3 linked regions of the Arabidopsis thaliana genome follow. The protein of the gene in region 2 interacts with the protein of the main gene of each other region in a pairwise test. Each region holds a gene or a part of one and is shown on either strand. Other genes may lie near its edges. The genes, in order: AFP3, AREB3 and SNRK2.4.

Evidence for each region.
Region 1: the proteins of AREB3 (region 2) and AFP3 interact in a two-hybrid assay, tested with the Arabidopsis thaliana proteins (one large-scale study listed by BioGRID).
Region 3: the proteins of AREB3 (region 2) and SNRK2.4 interact in a two-hybrid assay, tested with the Arabidopsis thaliana proteins (one large-scale study listed by BioGRID).

Annotation. Positions count from the first base shown.
Region 1 is NC_003074.8:11,380,657-11,387,321, reverse strand, and holds AFP3 (ABI five binding protein 3), read left to right. Parts: upstream 1-3,176; 5' UTR 3,177-3,664; coding exon 3,665-4,055; intron 4,056-4,601; coding exon 4,602-4,906; 3' UTR 4,907-5,108; downstream 5,109-6,665. UniProt on the Arabidopsis thaliana protein: Acts as a negative regulator of abscisic acid (ABA) response and stress responses.
Region 2 is NC_003074.8:21,044,004-21,051,490, forward strand, and holds AREB3 (ABA-responsive element binding protein 3), read right to left. Parts: upstream 4,612-7,487; 5' UTR 3,892-4,611; coding exon 3,151-3,891; intron 3,068-3,150; coding exon 2,996-3,067; intron 2,632-2,995; coding exon 2,551-2,631; 3' UTR 2,231-2,550; downstream 1-2,230. Other genes in the region: AT3G56840 (FAD-dependent oxidoreductase family protein), read left to right, coding at 314-397, 462-791, 872-1,153, 1,268-1,695, 1,781-1,940, 2,061-2,174; UBA2A (UBP1-associated protein 2A), read right to left, coding at 6,705-7,487. UniProt on the Arabidopsis thaliana protein: Binds to the embryo specification element and the ABA-responsive element (ABRE) of the Dc3 gene promoter. Could participate in abscisic acid-regulated gene expression during seed development.
Region 3 is NC_003070.9:3,655,149-3,662,590, forward strand, and holds SNRK2.4 (Protein kinase superfamily protein), read right to left. Parts: upstream 3,461-7,442; 5' UTR 3,023-3,460; coding exon 2,903-3,022; intron 2,666-2,902; coding exon 2,591-2,665; intron 2,477-2,590; coding exon 2,375-2,476; intron 2,283-2,374; coding exon 2,259-2,282; intron 2,185-2,258; coding exon 2,131-2,184; intron 2,037-2,130; coding exon 1,944-2,036; intron 1,864-1,943; coding exon 1,771-1,863; intron 1,623-1,770; coding exon 1,518-1,622; intron 1,435-1,517; coding exon 1,336-1,434; intron 1,253-1,335; coding exon 902-1,252; 3' UTR 665-901; downstream 1-664. Other genes in the region: TMN1 (transmembrane nine 1), read left to right, coding at 4,174-4,263, 5,177-5,369, 5,474-5,578, 5,902-5,919, 6,014-6,111, 6,193-6,345, 6,573-6,707, 6,857-7,023 and 2 more.

The sequences.
Region 1 (6,665 bases), 9.7 Mb from region 2:
CACAAATTTAATGTAGTAAAACTAAAAACTAATTTATTAGTAATATAAAACTGGTATAACTTGTTTAAATACTAAGACGCAAATATTAAATTACACGTAACAAAAAGATTACAATTCAAATGATATCATAATTGATTAGTTCAATACCCATTATAAACACTCATTTTCTTTATCTGAATAAAAAATCGTTTTTTTCCTCTACACTTTCTAATTTGGTTGATTGTTTTGCTTATCTGTTGTGAAACAATGTCAACGTGTCAAACACCCACAGGAATGACGTCGATAGACCGAAACAATAAAGTTTGGGGTTAAAAAGAGTTAAATCTCTGTGAGGTCCACCATCTGATCTCTTGTCTGATTTCTTGCGTGTTTCTTTCTCTGCAGATTCTCTTCTTTCGTAAATTATTTTTCTTTTTGTTGTTGTCAATTTTCATACGTATCTTTCACATGCTTTGTCTTCCTTTCATTGAATTTATTCAATTTAATTATTTTGGTCTATTTATCTGCATTTATACATGTTGCAATATTTGCGTTTTTATGAGTTTGAACGGAGAGATGGATTGGTCCTAAGATGTCATCATTCGCTAGTTTGATGTAAATTCAACCAAATACGAATTAGTGACGATTTTGTGGTTGAAATTGTTCATAAAATCATTACAACATTAGTGATTTTATTGTTCTGACATCTAAATCAGATCAAATATACAAATGTTATGTGATATTGATTTTCTACTAGTTTTCCATGGCATTTCATTATAAGCTATTAGCAAACAATGTCTTTATTCAAACTGACTTTTAAATATAAAAAAAGTTAGAATTATTACTTGTATATTTTGATGCTTAACTTTTTCTTCAACTCGGAATAATTTAGAGAATGATTGAAGAGTCCGACCTTTCAAAAAACATACAAAAGTAAAAAATAAGTAGTGAAAAGTCCAAGAAAAAAGAAAAAAAAAACTATAAAAGTGTAATTTTTCTAAGAGAATCTATATGAGAATGACTGCATCGTCTTCATTCGAAATCCTAAAAAATGCGGATATCTAGCTCTGTAGATCTTTTATATTTACCATATTTTTTTTGGGACGGTCATCGATAGCCTAAGCACTCAAAGTCTGACGACCCAACGAAAGGTGGTGGGCTAGTGGTTCTAGTCTGGTGGAAGTGGTCCTGTTTGTTTAAGTCAGGGATCGATTCTCTCCATATGTAGAATTGCTTACTTTTATTTTTTTGACTATAAGTATAGACATGCTACTTAAGATCTATTTAAAAACCCGGAAGATATCAAATATATAGGATATAGGATACCCTCTCTCTAGGAATTAATCATGAACCTTTCCATAGGTTCAGAGATTTACCAGAAATTATAAAAAAAAATCAAAGTTTGAACTAACACTTATAAAATATATATTTCTAACCCGAGAAAAAGAGACATTGTCTAAACATGTAAATTTTATTAACAAATAGACGGATAAAGCTAGCAAAGAATTAGAGTGTGACAAAAAAATATTGAAAATATGATTGCTACTAGATATATTAATACTTTATAAAAACTTGTTATAAAAAAATATCCAAAACTATTTGACTTCCTATGATATTAGTTCCAAATAATTTAAATTTTAGATATTTAGATATTTGGTTGTCTGTATAGATATCTTCTTTTTCTGAACTGCAATGGATATATGCATTTATAAATATGATGACCAGAAACTTTTAAATTTGGATAATTGTTACCAATTTGGAAAGACATATCATAAAACAATTTACTTACAATAATAATAATAATAATAATAATCTTGTGGATAAATTATCAAAAATATTTTGCTCTATTTGCTATTTATTTCATGAACTCTTATATTCACTTCCTTTAGTTTTAACCAATCATTATGCCATGGCATATAATAATTTAATATAAATTAAAAGTTAGACAAACAAATAAAATAAATAAATTAAGAATTAATTGTAAAATCTGAATCATATGCCCTTTTTTATAAACTCATAACAACATATAATTTCATTAATTCTAAAATTTAAACTTTAACCACTTTTTATAAAGAGTAAATTTGGAAAAATGCCCTATTTTTGAGTTTTCATTTGAAAAATACCCTATTCTTTCTTCCTTTTTAAACAATTAATTTTTAATATATAAAAATACTAAAATAGCCTCATTAAAATTTAAGAATAACTTTTTAAAAAAATAAACTTAAAACAAAAAAAATTCATAAACTAAAATTTGATGTAACTAATAATTTTAAAGATAATTATTATCTAAGCTGATATATGATTTTATTTAATTTGTAAAAACTATAACGCAAACCACTCTTCTATAAACGTATATAAAATTTTTAGATATTTATATTTATAAATATGACTGCAGAAGTTTTAAGTTTATGATAGTTTTTAAAAAGCAATTATGATAGTTAGTAACAATTTAGAAACACGTATAATTTAATTTCTTTGTTTATTTTTCAAAAATATACAAAAAATTTATGTCAGCGATTTTATTTTATTTTGTATGGTATATGACTAATTTAAAAGTGGTACTAATTAGTATTATAAAAAATTATTAAAAAGTATTTTTAACCTTACGACTCTATTTTTTTACAAGTTACAAATGTTTCATAAAATTTTATTGTTAAAACACTATGATCTAAGATATTGAAACCCACGGTCAAAGTATTGCTAACATGGTCATTACATTGAAAAAGAAAATTAATTGTCTTTACTCATGTTTATTCTATACAAATAAAAATATTAACCAACCATCGCACTAACAAAATAGAAATCTTATTCTAATCACTTAATTGTTGACAATTAAATCATTGAAAAATACACTTAAATGTCAAATATTCGTTTTGCATACTTTTCAATTTAAATACATTTAAAGTTCGACAAGTTGCGTTTACTATCATAGAAAACTAAATCTCCTACCAAAGCGAAATGAAACTACTAAAGCGACAGGCAGGTTACATAACCTAACAAATCTCCACGTGTCAATTACCAAGAGAAAAAAAGAGAAGATAAGCGGAACACGTGGTAGCACAAAAAAGATAATGTGATTTAAATTAAAAAACAAAAACAAAGACACGTGACGACCTGACGCTGCAACATCCCACCTTACAACGTAATAACCACTGAACATAAGACACGTGTACGATCTTGTCTTTGTTTTCTCGATGAAAACCACGTGGGTGCTCAAAGTCCTTGGGTCAGAGTCTTCCATGATTCCACGTGTCGTTAATGCACCAAACAAGGGTACTTTCGGTATTTTGGCTTCCGCAAATTAGACAAAACAGCTTTTTGTTTGATTGATTTTTCTCTTCTCTTTTTCCATCTAAATTCTCTTTGGGCTCTTAATTTCTTTTTGAGTGTTCGTTCGAGATTTGTCGGAGATTTTTTCGGTAAATGTTGAAATTTTGTGGGATTTTTTTTTATTTCTTTATTAAACTTTTTTTTATTGAATTTATAAAAAGGGAAGGTCGTCATTAATCGAAGAAATGGAATCTTCCAAAATTTGATATTTTGCTGTTTTCTTGGGATTTGAATTGCTCTTTATCATCAAGAATCTGTTAAAATTTCTAATCTAAAATCTAAGTTGAGAAAAAGAGAGATCTCTAATTTAACCGGAATTAATATTCTCCGACCGAAGTTATTATGTTGCAGGCTCATGTCGAAGAAACAGAGATTGTCTGAAGAAGATGGAGAGGTAGAGATTGAGTTAGACTTAGGTCTATCTCTAAATGGAAGATTTGGTGTTGACCCACTTGCGAAAACAAGGCTTATGAGGTCTACGTCGGTTCTTGATTTGGTGGTCAACGATAGGTCAGGGCTGAGTAGGACTTGTTCGTTACCCGTGGAGACGGAGGAAGAGTGGAGGAAGAGGAAGGAGTTGCAGAGTTTGAGGAGGCTTGAGGCTAAGAGAAAGAGATCAGAGAAGCAGAGGAAACATAAAGCTTGTGGTGGTGAAGAGAAGGTTGTGGAAGAAGGATCTATTGGTTCTTCTGGTAGTGGTTCCTCTGGTTTGTCTGAAGTTGATACTCTTCTTCCTCCTGTTCAAGGTACATTACCATAGTTTTTGTGATCTTTCATGAGTTTGTTGAATTTGGATTAAGAGATGATTTTTTTTTTTTAAATCTTCAAGATTGAGTTTTGCTTGTTTAGATCTTTGATTATTGATTAGGGTACACGACATTGAATCTTCTTTTGGATGTAGTGATATCAACATATCATTTTACGATTATTAGATTCCCTTAGGATGGATTCATTGTGTGGCATTGTGATTGGTTTGTTGTGTTGTTAGCGTTTTTGAGTCTTTGGCTTTTCGTTTTATTTCGTGTCTTTCACTAGGTATCTTTTAGGTGTCTTAGAGTTCGATTTTTGGCCATTTTAGGTATTGTTAGTGGAAAGAAACAAAGTTTGGTGCGTTGTAGTTACTACATTGTTTGTGTTTCCATTCCAAGGGAAAAAGTATGTTCAAAAATGCACAATGTATCAAGGGATTATCGATAATATTCGAAAGCAAACATTGTATATCTTCTAGGCTTTGCAAAGTTTTTGTTGTCTTTTGTTTAGTGTTTTACTGAAATACTTACTTGTGTTTGAAGCAACAACGAACAAGTCCGTGGAAACAAGCCCTTCAAGTGCCCAATCTCAGCCCGAGAATTTGGGCAAAGAAGCGAGCCAAAACATTATAGAGGACATGCCATTCGTGTCAACAACAGGCGATGGACCGAACGGGAAAAAGATTAATGGGTTTCTGTATCGGTACCGCAAAGGTGAGGAGGTGAGGATTGTCTGTGTGTGTCATGGAAGCTTCCTCTCACCGGCAGAATTCGTTAAGCATGCTGGTGGTGGTGACGTTGCACATCCCTTAAAGCACATCGTTGTAAATCCATCTCCCTTCTTGTGACCCTTTGGGTCTCTTTTGAGGGGTTTGTTGTATCGGAACCATGTTACAAATCCTCATTATCTCCGAGGTGTATAAACATAAATTTATCGAACTCGCAATTTTCAGATTTTGTACTTAAAAGAATGGTTTCATTCGTTGAGATTAATTTTAGACCTTTTTCTTGTACAATGTTTAGTCTTTGAGATAATATACCGGCTTGTCTAATTTAAGTGTGATACATATTAAAGATTGTCACGCTAAGGTTAAATTATTTAAAGAGGATCGTCTTCGTTTCTTATATGTTTTCTATTTTCTGTTGGTGGTGATAACTGTTTTTCTTACATCAACGACGAAGATTTGCCAATACTTGGACACCCTTCAACAGAGCCGGCCCAAGATAAATTCTTCCCTAAAACAAAATTTATTTTTGGCCCATCATTAAATATAATCTACTCTATTATTTGAAACGTACATTTAATGAGGTGGGCATTTCGCAGAAATAACAAGTTTGTCATTGAGTTAAAATTTTTCTATCATGAAAAACCCGTTTAAAAAGACGCGGATCCTTTTGACCCGAATTTTAAAATAACGGGTCATAACTTCTAATCTTAGCCATTCAATTGATTTTTTTTTAGCCGTTGATTTTCTCCAGTAAAGTTTTGAAACCCGACCCGGATGATGAACCGGACTACCTTCTTGGTCACCGGGTCATCGGGTCAACCGGGTTGGACCACGGGTCAATTAGTTAAAATTTATTTAATAAATTTAATATTAATAGAAATTTTAGAGTATTTTATAAATATATATATATATATATTTTTTTAGTATTTATAAATATAAAACAAAATAATCATATCATGTTTAAAAAATATAAAATTATATTATGTTTACCAAAATATAAAATTATTTACACCCAAATATATATATATATATATATATATATAATCAAACAATAATAATAAAGTGATTAAAAATTTTAAATCCAACTAAATGTCTAACACCGTAACAAATATAGTAGGAGATCACCAATGATAGAAATAAACTAATAAAACATCGTGAATTCAAACAACTAATCTCAATTGTCTCTCTCACCATTCGATTCATTTTTAAGGCGGTATTGTAAAGTCTTCACCAAAATCTAAAACATCGAATGAATTTAAGAACTGAAAAAACTTTTAAAAATAATTGAATAAAGTCTAAAATCCCATATTTTACTGCAAAATCAAAAAAAAAAATTAAAACCCACACCCGGCCGGTTCAACCGGTTCACCGGGTCACGGGTTAATTGCGAGTTTTTGAGGGTTTTTTCGGTTTTGAACTTATCGGGTTTTAGCACTAAACCCAAACCGGAAAACTAATTATACTCCTATATCAATACGGATTTATAATATTTATTATATTCTAAAAGATTAATAATCCAATCAGATAATTTTTAAAACATTTCCTAATTAAATATAACAAATCGGTTTTATATATATATAACATTATAAATATCGAATTAATATGTTTGAATTCGAAATTAGCTTAAATATTCTAAATTTATTTAAATAACTAGAAAAACACTTTTAACTAAACTATTTTTTTATGTTTGATAATTAAAATATAAAAATATGTTTAAACATTTTAAAATAAAATGAATTAAATTTTCGGTTTATATTAATTTCTGTTAATTAAATTAATTGAATTCCTTTTTCAGCAACTGAATCATATTAATTGAAAATATTCAATGCGTATATTTCTTTCTTGAATTCGAATATATCACTTCTCCATAATTATAGGT
Region 2 (7,487 bases):
TCGCAGAAGTAATGATAAACTCATAGACGGAGAAAGAACAAGAAATATGAAACTTGACTCAGCAGATACCACGATTAGGCATTCCCACGAATACCTTGTAGACGACAACTCAAGAAAACTCTAATTTTCCCCAGATTACTAAGTTCCTCCAAGCCCATTAGTCAAAAAATCAAGCCAAAAATCGATCCTTACAACTGTCTACAGATGAAGGAATCAAAATTCGAAACCAATTACGACTGAAAACAGTAGTAAAGAAGCCAGAGAAATGAAAAGGGATCAGCTTGGTGAAGGACAAAGTATGAAATGAGGAAAGATGAAGCATAAACCTGAAACGGCGGCGTTTAGCTTGATTCGGCCTCTCGAAGCTTGGGCTGCAAATGCAAACAAAGCCTGTAATGTAATAATGTTAGAGAGTTGAGAATAAAACCCATTTATGTGGTGCTGAAGGCATTTTGCTGCAGACTAAGAAGATGCTACCTTGTCTGGGTAGAAAATGGATGAGATTGTCAACGAGGAATCTAAAACCAACTTGGAACTTGATAAACGTCGTTGACGCAAGTAAAACAATTGTGAGAGGAATAAGCGGTGGAGCTGAAACGATAGCTAAAGAGAGAGTTGACACCGTAGTGATCGGTGCCGGAGTCGTAGGTTTAGCGGTGGCGCGTGAGCTCAGTCTCCGCGGCAGAGAAGTTCTGATCCTCGACGCCGCATCATCGTTCGGCACCGTGACGAGTTCCCGCAACAGTGAAGTCGTCCACGCCGGAATCTATTATCCACCAAACTCTCTAAAGGTACAATCTTTCTCTTGAGGATCGAATCAGATGTGTGTTTTGGTAAGTTCAATAGTGAGTTTTGTTTGGATTTTGAGCAGGCCAAGTTTTGTGTAAGAGGGAGGGAATTGCTGTATAAATACTGCTCTGAATATGAAATCCCTCATAAGAAGATTGGTAAGCTTATCGTTGCTACGGGATCCTCTGAGATACCGAAACTAGATCTATTGATGCATCTTGGAACTCAGAATAGAGTCTCGGGTCTAAGGATGTTGGAAGGTTTTGAAGCTATGAGAATGGAGCCACAGCTTCGTTGTGTTAAAGCTTTGCTATCTCCTGAATCTGGCATTCTTGATACACATTCCTTCATGCTATCTTTAGTGGTATATATAATAAACTTTTCCCCAGCTCTCTATATAGGGTCTTCATTGTTCTGTCTTTAGGAAAAGAGTTTTGATTTCATGGTTTACAGGGATAACAACAACTTGAGACTACAGGGAGAAGCACAGAACAACCACGCAACTTTCTCGTACAACACGGTGGTTTTAAACGGTCGTGTTGAAGAAAAGAAGATGCATTTGTATGTTGCTGATACCAGATTTTCTGAATCTCGGTGTGAGGCAGAAGCACAGCTTGAGCTTATCCCTAATCTTGTTGTTAACTCTGCGGGATTAGGTGCTCAAGCTCTAGCAAAGAGACTACATGGCTTAGATCATCGATTTGTTCCTTCGTCTCACTATGCTCGTGGATGCTACTTTACACTATCGGGCATAAAGGCTCCACCTTTTAATAAACTTGTGTATCCTATACCTGAGGAAGGAGGTCTCGGTGTCCATGTCACTGTAGATTTGAACGGACTTGTTAAGTTTGGACCTGATGTAGAATGGATTGAATGCACAGATGATACATCAAGCTTCCTCAACAAGTAAATACTGCATCTGTTCTTAAATTATCCTTTCTATTTAGTCCATTTTGAAGTTACTCAAGATCTTCATGCTGTTTGTATTCAGGTTTGATTATCGTGTAAACCCACAACGATCAGAGAAATTCTACCCAGAGATCAGAAAGTACTATCCGGATCTCAAAGATGGATCATTGGAACCGGGTTATTCAGGCATCCGTCCTAAGCTTTCCGGGCCAAAACAGTCTCCTGCAGATTTTGTCATACAGGTAAGCTTTTGTTTATCAAAATGCATCAGACTACACTCACAGCATTAGGTCCTGTGGAATCTTCGGTTTTGTTATGAAACCATTTGTTATCCTCAAGAGTCTTGTGTGTTCCTGATGCAGGGAGAGGAGACTCATGGAGTTCCTGGTCTTGTTAATCTCTTTGGCATCGAATCACCTGGTTTAACTTCAAGCTTGGCTATTGCAGAACATATAGCAAACAAATTCTTGAGATGAATTTGAGTTAAAAGTTTACATTTAAGAACAAAAGTGGCCTACAAGAAGAAGGCTTTGCAGAGTTAAACAATTTTCCTTTCAGTGTGATCCATTTAGACTTTGTCTATAACTCTTTACACTTTGCAATCAAATGCTATAAGAATAATAAACACAAGTTCCTTCTGTTCAATCTCTGAATTTCAATCGGACTCATGAAAACCATTACTGCTGCTAGTCTGCTACTACAATAACTCGAGAATATTTTAAAGTTAACAGAATTGCTCCAAGTCAAGAAAGTCTACGGAATGTACAAAGAAACAAAGCTGTTTTCCTCTCTTTTTTATAAGTGAACCGACACAGAAGAGAAAAAAAGAAAAAGACAAAAAGAGTTTAGAGATCAGAAAGGAGCCGAGCTTGTCCGTCGGAGCTGCCGCTTGGGATCAGGCGGTGGTACACTTGGGAGGATTTTTTCCACCTCCTGCAAAGTAATGTAAGGATTAGCTTTGGCCACACATAAACGCAGACAAAATTGAAGAACAGAAAGTCCATGAAGACTAGAAACCAGCAAGACCAACTTGTTCCGGGTAAAGGAAAACTATGTCTCCTAAGACGTTTGGTCTAAACCTATTCCTCCTGTCTCTTGTTCGTGGTTATATTTTCTATCATATATTGTCTACTATGCGTGTGCCCTATTCTATACTTCACTACATCTTCTATCATCTATCATTCCCTTTAATATGAATCCAGAACTAATCAACGATCAGCTCTTACAAGTTTCTAGTAATCACAAATTTAATCAATGCATGTGTTGTAAAAAGGGAGAAAAACCTACAATGCATTACCTTTTGCTTCCTGAGTCTTTCGTTTTCTTCTTCTAACCGTGAAACTTTGATCTCTAGCTCATGAGTGTAAGCCTGCTCATCAATATCCAATGTTAAAACAAAAACGAGCATGACTTGACAAGAAGAATAACAACAACAAATTAGTTGTTTCTCACCTGTTTCCTAGCTCGGGAACGAGCAGCAGACTCTCTGTTCTTTATCATTCTCTTCTGCCTCCTCTCTACAGTCTTCTCTACAACTTCTCCTGAAGCTACCCTCTTCCTTCCAGGAGTTTGTGTATCTGACAAACCACCCATCAAAGAAGACTGAGACACCATTGCTTGCATATCTGAAACCGGATAGGGCATAAATGCTTGAGGCTGTGGCATTGATGGGAGCTGATGATATTGAATCCATGGGCCAACTTGAGTAATGTTTTGCCCTAAACCAGCACCTGAACCAGCACTACCACCACCAACAGGACCATCATGGTTCGAACCAGGGATAGTCTCAGTGACCACTCCTGCTTTCAACAACAGGTCTTCAAGCGTCATTTCCCCAAGTGTAGGCTGCTTATCCCTCCTCTCATGAGCACTACCTCCATTCTTATTCTGCTGAATGTCTTTCCAAACCTCATCAACAGTCTTTTTGCTGAGATCCCGAGGCAAAGTCAAACTCCCCTGGCGAGAAAGACCCTCCTGAGCAGCTGCTCCACCATTGACAGCCATAGACGATGGCTGATTAGCTTCAACAGAACAGACACTCTTCAAAAGCTCATCAAGGTTCATGCTTCCCAGAGCTTTACCAGAACTCCCCAAGTGATTTTGAACCTCATCAAGTGTTAAGCTGTAAAGAGAGCTTTGCCTATTCAAGGACTGAGATTTAGCTTGTTCAACAATACCCCTCTGAGAATCCATAGGCTTTTGTAGCGGACAAAAAACAACAAGACAGATAGATAAAAACAATTCTGAACCCACAAATCAGAAACCCTAATGCTCAATTTGATAAATAGCCACACGACGACGAATTCATCAAATCGAGCCTAAATCGGAGGCGAAAGTAACCTTTTTTCTAAGGTAGAGTGGCGAAACATGCAGAAGAGAGACGAGAAGAAGAGAACCCAGAAATCAAATCGAAGGAAATGGCAGAGAGAAATCACGGCGTTGTAGCAATCAGAAAGAGTCTTGGGAATTGCATGCAGCATCGAAGGCTATCAAATGCAGATACTAAACATGGAAATCGCAACACAAGGACAATCAAACTCTTGCGAGGTACAGACTTTTCGAAGAAGAAGAATAAATCAAAAACTTAAGCAAGAGAAAAAGCAACAATCTTTTGGAGCTTAAAAAGGACCAGATCTAAAACATGGCAAGTTTGGGTTTTTCTTTCTCAAAAGAGAAACGAAACTATGATAAGTGCAGAGACAGATTTACAAAGCAAACCTAAACTCTGTGTCTGTGTGTGTCTGAGTCTCTCTCTCTCTCTTCGTTTTGTTTTCGCGCAGGAGAGGAAAAAAGAGAAGAGAGAGAAAACCTTTTGATTGAGAAAGTGACACTCGATACTGTGGCAATGCCCCCCTCTCAAGCCTCCTGTGGAATTTTCAATGCGTTTCTTCTTTTTTTAGTTGCCCAAAAATGGTTTCTCAAACTTTCGATCAAAATAAGAAACAGAGGTTTGTTTAAACACTTAATGATTAGTGATTAACTTAAATGAAGGTGGAATCAATAAACACTACATGTGCTCGGAGACCCTTCATTCATTTAGCTTCAATGGGAATTTAGGTAGATTGATTATCAAACTTTAATCAGAAAAGGTTATACATATACATGTTTATGTTCTTTGGCTCTCAACACTAATCCTCATGCCTATGAGTTTCTCTTTAAATGGTAAGTGATTACTATAAATTAATCTGCAATCATGTTAAACCATTTTTAGGCAATAATTTACATGTATTTTTTTGCAATATTGAAATCTCAAACCTTTAATTATACTTTCTATTATCCAATCTCAGATTGGGTTTTATGAACATTGAATGTGGCTTTGAAGAATATTGCATCTTGGATTCTCTTCATCAATGAAGGACCTTTTTCCCTTTTCGAAACTTGACATAACAATTGAGAGATTGTTGACTTGAGATCAAATACACAAAACTCTACTACTTACTTCCCCCAATTCCACTTCAGCTTCATATTCTGCTTCTCTTCTTCATCATCAATGAACCCTTCTACTATGTATCATCATCATAAATAATATTCAAAGCTGCACTTTTCCAAAAAGAGATTTCACCATCAAAGCAATCATCACCAAAAAAACTTTATGCATTCACGCCTTTATAAACTCCTCTGAAACATTAAGGGAAATAATATATCACCTCGTACTCTTGTGACTTTTCTAATAATCCCTGAACCTTGTGCACAAGGACCTGAAGGTACATGCTCTCTAGACCAAAACCAACTTTTATCACTTCAAAGAGGGACTAGGACCAATAAACAAGAACATATATAGGCAAGAGATTCGCACTGAGAGATATACTTTTAACACTTTTGATTACTTACCCTTCAATTGGAAGCACGTTGTATATAGCCAAAGAAGATACTCAACACTTTGAACTTACCTTTTAGTTGCAAGCATGTTGTGGAGATCCAAAGACTTAACTGCCTGTTGTCGAGAAACTCTATTCGATAGCTTCCACTTTTCAAATATTGAGAAATTGCCTCAGAAAGATCATTCTTCAGCTGTGTCGTTGAGAAGCTTGCACCACTTCCCACCAAGTTTGACTGTTCCAAGTTGGCTGCAACTTAGTAATTTTATGACAAATAAGTTTGGAAACAAAGTTCTAATTTGAAATAGTCATTGTAAAAACTTTTGAAACTTGTCATAGAAAATCCAAAAACACAAGTGAGAGAGCTCTGCTGCATTTTAAAATTCCAAGTTTTGATCATTTCAGAACCAATTGCATTCAGATTAGTATATGTGTGCTAAAGAAATTTCATTGACAGTTAGGGGTACATAATCTGGCTGTTCAACCGCAGTCAATTACCTGCAAGAGGAATAATTGAACAAACATAAAATCAGGATAGTACATAAAGCCAGGTTAATCAAGATAACTTGGTACAAAATACACTGCAGGCAGAAAAACACATGAAATCGTAAAACAGAGAAGTCAATAAAAACTATTTAGGAAAAACTAGAGTTCGATAAGCAAAGACCCACATGGAGCGTAGTTGCGCTTTTTTAGTTTTACAAATGAAAGTCTAAGGGGGATATTCAGAAAACTGAAAAAATAGAGACATAAACACTGAAAATAGTAGTACAAAGTTTTTTTTAGGAATTTCATAAAGAGAGTTTGGGAAAAACAAGTAGATGAAAACTAAAACTCCTTAAAAGGTTTTTTATGAGTTTGGCCTTAGGAGTGACCAAAGAGTAACATTTCATAAAGACTTCATTTAGCATCAGCTCCTTATAAACTTGAGAAGAATCACCAGGCCAATATTAAAACACTGATTTCTGATATCTGCACAATGAATTTAAGAAAATAAGAGAAGTAACATGCTTTAACAACCGTTGCAAAATCCCCCAAAACTCCAATGCAAACAAAAACCATGTGGATATACACAGAAACTTCTTGTCTTCAGACATCAGTAAGTTAATATATACTGAGGAAAGACATTTCAACAATTAAACAAGGGAAATTCATTGCTCTACCTGAGTGGATGGATACATGATACATTTAGTGACCCATGTAAGGAGTACCGTATGGCCCGACACCATGTTGCCCTCTACTTGTACCGCCTTGACCAGGTTGCGGAGTCTGATAACCGCCTTGCAACCCAGGTTGTGTACCGTACCCAGGCATTGTCCCCGGTGCCATAGCTTGAGTACCGTAACCAGTTGGCATTCCAACTCCATTCCCTGGGTTTACACCAGCAGCTGTCCCCAAGGAACCCAACAAAGCCTGTCCAATTGCCGGATTAAAAGCCAAACCAGCTCCCTGAGATGCCAATAAAGCTGTCAAGGCCTGTCCAATGGCCGGGTTTATCACCTGTGCCGTTGGACCACCCATCCCAGCTGGGTTACCAGCCATGAGATGTCCATGACCTCCAGGCGGACCATAACCATTGTTATCATTCCTTTGGTAACGAGGATTGTTATAGGCGTGTGGGTTATGGTGATGCTGCTGCTGCTTGCCCGGTTTGGGACCATCGATAGCTTTCTGGCAATGCAAGATATGGCCTTCAAAAGTCTTGTGTGGCTCCTCCAAAGCCCTCTTGGCGCTTTCAGACGACTTATAAACAAAGAGACAGAAACCTTTAGGTCTCCCAGTATACTTATCAAGACCCAAAGGACCTTCTTCAATTTCTCCAAACTTTGAGAAAAACATCAGCAACTTCTGTGGATCAAGCTCTGCTCCGACATTACTAACATAAATCTTTTTCTGAGTATGCTCCGAGTTCGAATGCTGAGCAGGCGCTGAAACAGCTGCAGCAGCGATAGGAGCTCCACCAAAGACAGG
Region 3 (7,442 bases), on a different chromosome or scaffold from region 2:
ACTGAGACTATACATACACAATTATCAAATCCAGTGAGACACAACGAATCGGTTAGTTATTACCCACCTATTTCAGAACTTGGAAGACAATAAAATACTCCCAAAAAAAAAAACAGGAAATTGAAGTGAATCGATCAGTCATGAGTCTAAAGGATTAATCTTTACCCATGCGAAACGAAATCCCTAATCGACAACTAAATATTAACACTCGTAGGACGAAGAAACGCAATCGGTGTGAGAAAGAACAAAACGAAAACCCTAAAAATGACTTTGAAACGAAAGCCAGGAAATACATTTTCGATTCAGTGGAGTCTCTTGCTTCTGTAACGTTGCTTTTAACACTCCGGCGGCGAAACAATCAGGGAAGTCGGCGAGACGAAGCACAGGATAAAATGGCCACCACCGACTTGAGCTCAAGGCCGTAGAAGATTATCCGGTTTCCTAATGGCGGGATATTTTCCCTCTAATATATTCACATTTCGCATCAGAAACAAAAAAACAAAAGAAAACAATTATTTTTGAATTCCGAACATTTCAATTTGATTTTTTGTTGACATTTGTATTTTATAGATTTGCATTTTCAAAAAAATGATAAGGAACGAAAAAAAATAAAAATAAGAAATCCAAAAATCAAATACATGAATCTTTTCGGAAAATAAAATCTAATTTACAAAAATATTTATTGGAGGTCACAATGTTCATAGTACCATGCGTAGCAAAGGACTCATTCTCATCATCAACCTCTCTGTTTGTTCATCTTATACTGCAAATTTTACAAATCTCCAAAACCAGAACCAAAACCTTAGCCAAAGCATTGTAAAGGCAAACACGAGAACAGAGACTTTTCAGTTTCAACAAACCAACGACGACTTCTTTCTTACACAGACCAAAAACCAAAATATCAACTTATTCTCACTTCTCCACTTGCGTGTACTTCCTTTACAGTCTTATCGTATTCATCCTCATCGTCTTCCTCTTCTTCCACCTCCTCCTCTTCCTCCTCCACGTCTTCTGCATCTTCCTCTTTTCCATCTGCATCCCCATTTCCTCCCCAGCCAAAACCTCCGATGGATCGGGAAACAGGAGGCGGTGTTTTGGCGTCAGCCACTATCTTCATGATCTCTTCAACGGTCTGAAGGGAGAAGGTTGGGTTCTCTTTCTTGAAATATGCAGCTTGAGCTGTCTCTGTGAGTTCCCTTGGCAAATTCTTTAGGAACCATGAATGTTTCTTGATTTCTGCAATGGTGATCCTCTACGAAACAACAAGTAGCTCAATTGTTCAGAAAAATCAAAAGGCATCTTTGAAAACATTTAGTTCAGTTGATTGATGTATACCTTGAGTGAATTGGCGACAAATATACGGGAAAGGAGATTTTTACAATCCTGTGAGATATGGACGTAGTCCGGGATCTTGTACTGGACAGCCATTATTTTCTGTATAACAAGATCACACATTGACGAATAGGATGTGGCGAAAGCGAGATATGCAGATACATGGCTTCAAAAAAGAAACCTACTTGTATTGTTTTCCTGAAGTTCTTGGGGTCTTCCTGGTCTTCAAATGGGTATGCTCCAACCAGCATGACATAAAGAGTCACACCACAAGACCATACATCAGCCATCTGAAAGAAGAAAAAATGCTTCAAATCTTAGCGACTTCCACAAAGATGACTTTTTAAATTCAAAAGTAAAAATGTAAAGAGCATGACAATATCATAAATACTCATGGGTTTATGGAAGTTCATTGCATTGTGCATGATGCTTGATTACCTTGCCATCATATTCTCTTCGAGAAAGGACCTCAGGTGCAATATATGCTGGAGTTCCAACTGTTGATTTGGGCCTAGAGTGCAGCAGAGAGGACTAAAAAAAAGAGAATAACAAATCACAAAAGAGGATCTCGTCGACAAGGGGGGAACTTGGATTTTTTTTTAGTGTCAGACCTTGGAATAACCAAAATCACAGATTTTCAGACGTGGAGCAGGACTTCCATCCAAGAGCGTATTCTCGAGCTTCAGATCTCTATGGCATATTTGCTGCAACAAAATAGTCAACACATGATTAAAAAAAAACGACTTCAAACAGCCAATGGATAAGTAAATTTTGCTTAAGTCATTGTCTCTACATTACCATAGCATGGCAATAGCTAACACCTGATATAAGCTGCTGGAAGAAATATCTCGCCTGGAAAAGAGAGAAAGGATTAGAACGTAGACCCTAACTGTTTAATGCCTGATACTAAATAAAAGGAGGTTCACATGTTTTCTCTTGTTCCCTTCCTCCTAATCTTTCCAAAGACCATGCAGATTATCCTAAATACTAGTAATTTCATATTCGCAAAAGCACAGCACAATTTTTCAAATGGCAAGCTCACCTCATCCTCACTAAATCTTCCAGCACTGCATATACGCTCGAATAGTTCACCACCAGCAGCATATTCCATGGCAATGGCAAGATGGGTTGGAGTCAACACCACCTATAAAATCCATAAACCCAACAAGGAATGCAAGATGAAAGATATAAGAGATTATCAACAAACTTTTTCATAGCAAGAACACCACCCATGTCAAGCAACAAGAAATTCACTAACCTCCTTGAACCGGATTATATTCGGATGGCGAAGTGATCTGTGATTAATGATCTCTCTTGCCACATTCTCATCAATCTGTATCAAAAAAAACAAACAAAGCAAATACTCATTGTACAAATCTTTTCAGGAAAAATATTACAACTACAAGATAACTAACGTTACGTTAAACACCCAATCAGCTAACGATAAGAAATTTACAAAAAAAAATCGACTCTTCTGCTTAATAGCAATTCATTCCAATTATGCATATCTGGGTATAGGATCACCAGCTCATGGAGAGCAATGAAAACACAAAAACAGAGAGGAATATACCTTAGGACCACGCTCGATGTACTTCATGGCAACAAGTTCCTTAGAGTTTTTGACCTTCATGAGCCTGGCAACTCCAAAATTCCCAGCACCTATGTCTTTCACCAGCTCGTACTTGTCCATTCTCGCTCGACAACCCTAATTCCAAACACACAAAACAGAAAGGAAAAACCCAAACAAAAAAAAAATCTCCAAAATTCTCGTTGAAATTCAAGTCCAGTTCTAGCAGCTAAGAATTTCACGTGAAAATGAAACAAGATTAAAAAAAAAAAAAACAGTATCCCAAAATCAAGGATGCGATTCCGAGATCTCGCGATTCGCAAAGAAAGTGGGAAAAAAAAAGGGAAAGAGATGACGATGGAAGGTTAATTTGAGATTTGGATTGGAGAGATTTCAAGCCTAAGCGAAGAATCAACTTTCTTTTTCTTTTTTTTTTCTTGTTGGAATTTTTCTTTTTTCTTTTTTGGGGTGAAATTAATAGAGAAATAATGATGAGAATGAAGAAGAATCTCCCCTGCCTAAACAAACTCCCATCATGTTTTTTTTTCCATTTATTTAATTAATACGAGATTTTTTAAAAGAAAGAGGGACCCACAAGTTTCCATGCGATCCATACATGTTTGTTTCCCTTGCTGATTCGAGTGTATAACTACGTTTTTTTTTGTCACCAACGCGCTTTTTTTCTCCCTAATTCAACACTTCAACTATACACTATTTACACGACACGAGTGGTCAGCAGCAAGCAAATTCGCCTTAGATTCTTTTGGTTCTATATAGAGAGAGTCATTGTCCATAAATCACATTTTTCTCTATGAAGATTGTCACTCAAACGTAACCTTTTAATGAATTTATGTCATGATTTTCATCTACTTTTAACATTTTTCAACATATATACAAAAAAAGAAGAAGTTATGTTCCCATGTGTGAGTGTATATTTTAATTGAAATGACATAGTTCGTGCGCGTATATGAAAACATTAATAGACCTTATATGGGCCGCTAAACTAATATACACTTGTTAGAACGAAAGGCCCAATCAATTAATAGAGCAAACATTAAAAGACCTTATATGGGTTTTAAACTTAATATACGTTTCTTAGTACTACAAGCCCAATTAATTAATAGAGCAAAAAAGAAGTTGTAAGCCTTATCGTTGTTTTTGTATTACCCAAAATCTCTACAAAGTGAAAACACTGAGCTGAGGATCTCGCTCTCTCTCGATTGGTATCTCTCGCTCCGTCCTTCCTCAGATCTGATCGTCCGCCGGTTTTCACGATGCCGTCTTCCTCCTCCGCCGCCGTCCTCGTGTTCCTTCTTCTCGTTTCCCTTCTCACTCCTACGTTCGCATCCGATTCAGATCACAAGGTAAGACTCGGATCTCCAGTCGTTTTTTCTTTTCTTTTAATGCAGCTCGAAATCGAGCACTGTGTCCGTAGATCCGTGATTTGCATGGTGTTTGCGATTGAATTTTTTTTCATGGATCTGTTCGTTTACGGATTGCTAGGATCCTCGAGCTTCTATTCATTGTGATTTAGGCGTATCTTTTCGTTGCAAGTCTAGGCGTATTTTGTCTATTCATTGTGATTTAGGCTTTTCACAATCTCGATTTTAATAAGAAATTTTGATGTTGGTTTGAGATTCTCGTTGATTTCTGCACGTGGTAGCCTGTTTGATGTTCAAATACTTGGATCAACACTGAGTTGTGTTGTAATTGAGTGGCATTTAATGTATTAGCATCTTCGAGATGTAGATCTTATAGTTCCGAGGTCGGGTTGATGATTTTTTTCAATTGGTATCTAAAATGTGATACTGAAAGTGTCACACATGGCTTCTTTTGCTGATGGTCAGTTTCAGCTCAAAATTGTTATTGCCTTTTGTGATATTGGAGATCATGAGATCTAGCTTTAATGCTTTTGCTCCTCTGCCTTCTTACGCTCGCAAGTAGTGTGACATTTAAAGTCGATTCCAACTATATATTTTCTGCGTGAAAGATGATAGATAAAGGCGGGTTATGCATTATTCAAGAGCAATCTGGTAGCATTATTCAAGAGCCATTATTTCTATGGAACCATCATTTGTGTGAAGACTTTAACTCCTGATTTTTGAAATGATATTGAACGTAGCCTTTATCAGTATCTGTCTGTCTACGTTTGACATTTTGTTCTGTTCTCTCTAATGGAATTTTGGTTCTTACTCTCTCTTACTAGTTAATCCCATAAACTTTTACATTTCTGTGCTTTTCTGTCAAGTCAATTTTTTTTGCCTTCACCTTTTTCAGTATCAAGCCGAGGAGCAGGTCACCCTATGGGTAAACAAAGTTGGCCCATATAACAATCCACAAGAAACATACAACTATTACAGTCTTCCATTTTGCCGCCCATCTGGAAACAATGTTCACAAATGGGGTGGTCTTGGTGAAGTTCTAGGTGGAAATGAGCTGATTGACAGTGAGATTGCGATAAAATTCATGAGTACGTTTCAATTCTTATACAAGCTTCTTTTTCATACTAGTTAACAGTTATCGTACATTCGTACTTATTCTCTAGTTACAATACCTTTTCTGTTTTTTCCACAGAGAATGTCGAGAGAAGTGTCATCTGTCCGCTTGAACTCGATGAAGCTAAGGTCAAGCATTTTAAAGATGCCATTGAATCTAGCTACTGGTTCGAATTTTTTATGGGTATGTTTCACGTCTGTTGTACATATTACCACTGAAATTCATGAAAATAATGCTGATTTATTATCTATGATGTTGCAATTTCCTACTATGTAAAGTTTGGAAACATTTTGTATCTGCTGAGTTTTCCTTTGGTTCATTTTTACATCATGCAAATCTAAATTATTCCGATATCTAACTTCACTGCATTACCAATATCATTTACGGCATTGGATGTTGTAGGATATATAATCTTACATAACTTCTTTGGATTGCTAACCTTATTTCTCACCTTTTTCTGTGGCATCTGATTGGCGTGGACTTTCATCGGGTGGTTCTAACTTCAGATGATCTACCTTTGTGGGGTATGAACTTTGTATATTTACTTGAAACATCCAAAATTTATTATGTTCTTTGTTTGTTTTATATAGTTTTAATACTGTCTCATTGCTGTTGTAGGCTTTGTGGGTGAGCTGCATCCTGACAAAAATAGTGAAAACGGCAAGCATGTTCTTTACACACATAAGAACATTGTTGTCAAATACAACAAAGACCAGGTCGGTTGTTACCACGCCATTAAGCAATAGTATGGATATCATGTGAACTACATCTGTGATCTTATGTATCTATTTTAATAGATCATTCATGTTAATCTCACTCAAGACAACCCAAGGCCATTGGAAGCAGGGAAAAAAATGGACCTGACGTATTCTGTGCAATGGATTCCAACAAATGTCACATTTGCTCGCCGCTTTGACGTATATCTGGATTATCCGTTCTTTGAACACCAGGTAACTTTTAGCATGCTATGAATTAGTCTTGTACCCTTCTGCTACTGTCTGTGATTCCAAATGGTTCACTGGTTTATAATGTATCACACTGAATACCCCATTTCATGCTTGTTCATAAGTGCAAGCCATAATTATTCTTCCAAGAATCTACCAAAGTTCTATATTCCATCTCTTCAAGATTTCTGTTCAAGCTTTATAAGCCTTCTGAGAGTTTGTTCTTTTTGCAGATCCACTGGTTCTCCATCTTTAACTCGTTCATGATGGTTATTTTCCTCACCGGTTTGGTCTCAATGATATTGATGAGGACTCTCAGAAATGATTATGCGAAGTATGCTAGAGAAGATGATGATCTTGAGAGCTTGGTGATGTTTCCTCAACTTTTATTTGTCATTAGTTGCACAATTGTTTTTTTAGCTGTTAATACTCTCTAGCAGTCTGTCCAACACTTCTTTCTTTACTTCTAAATGCAAGGCTTCATAGCCATTTCTGACGTGAGTATTGATGGGCACAGGAACGGGATGTAAGTGAAGAATCTGGTTGGAAACTTGTGCATGGAGATGTGTTCAGGCCAGCAAGTAGTCTAGTTCTGCTCTCAGCGGTAGTTGGTACAGGTGCACAGTTGGCGTTGCTGGTTCTTCTTGTCATATTAATGGCCATCGTGGGAACTCTCTACGTTGGGTATGTATTACACTATTCTTTTCTCTTGAGACCAATTTTGTGTTGTTGTTTTCCCTACATGCGGTTGGCTTGTATATTGGATTTTGCTCACCTCTTATTCTAATTATTTCAGGAGAGGAGCAATCGTCACAACTTTCATAGTGTGCTATGCTCTGACTTCTTTTGTCTCTGGTTATGTGAGCGGTGGAATGTACTCAAGAAGCGGGGGTATGACTTACTCGACTTGGCGGACCCCTCCAGTGTTACTTTCCTCTCTAACTATTCAAGTAATTTAAATGCTGGTTTATTCAGGTAAACATTGGATCAAGTGCATGGTCCTCACGGCTTCTCTCTTCCCCTTTTTGTGCTTCGGAATTGGCTTTCTCCTAAACACAATTGCCATATTCTATGGATCTCTTGCGGCTATTCCTTTTGGGACA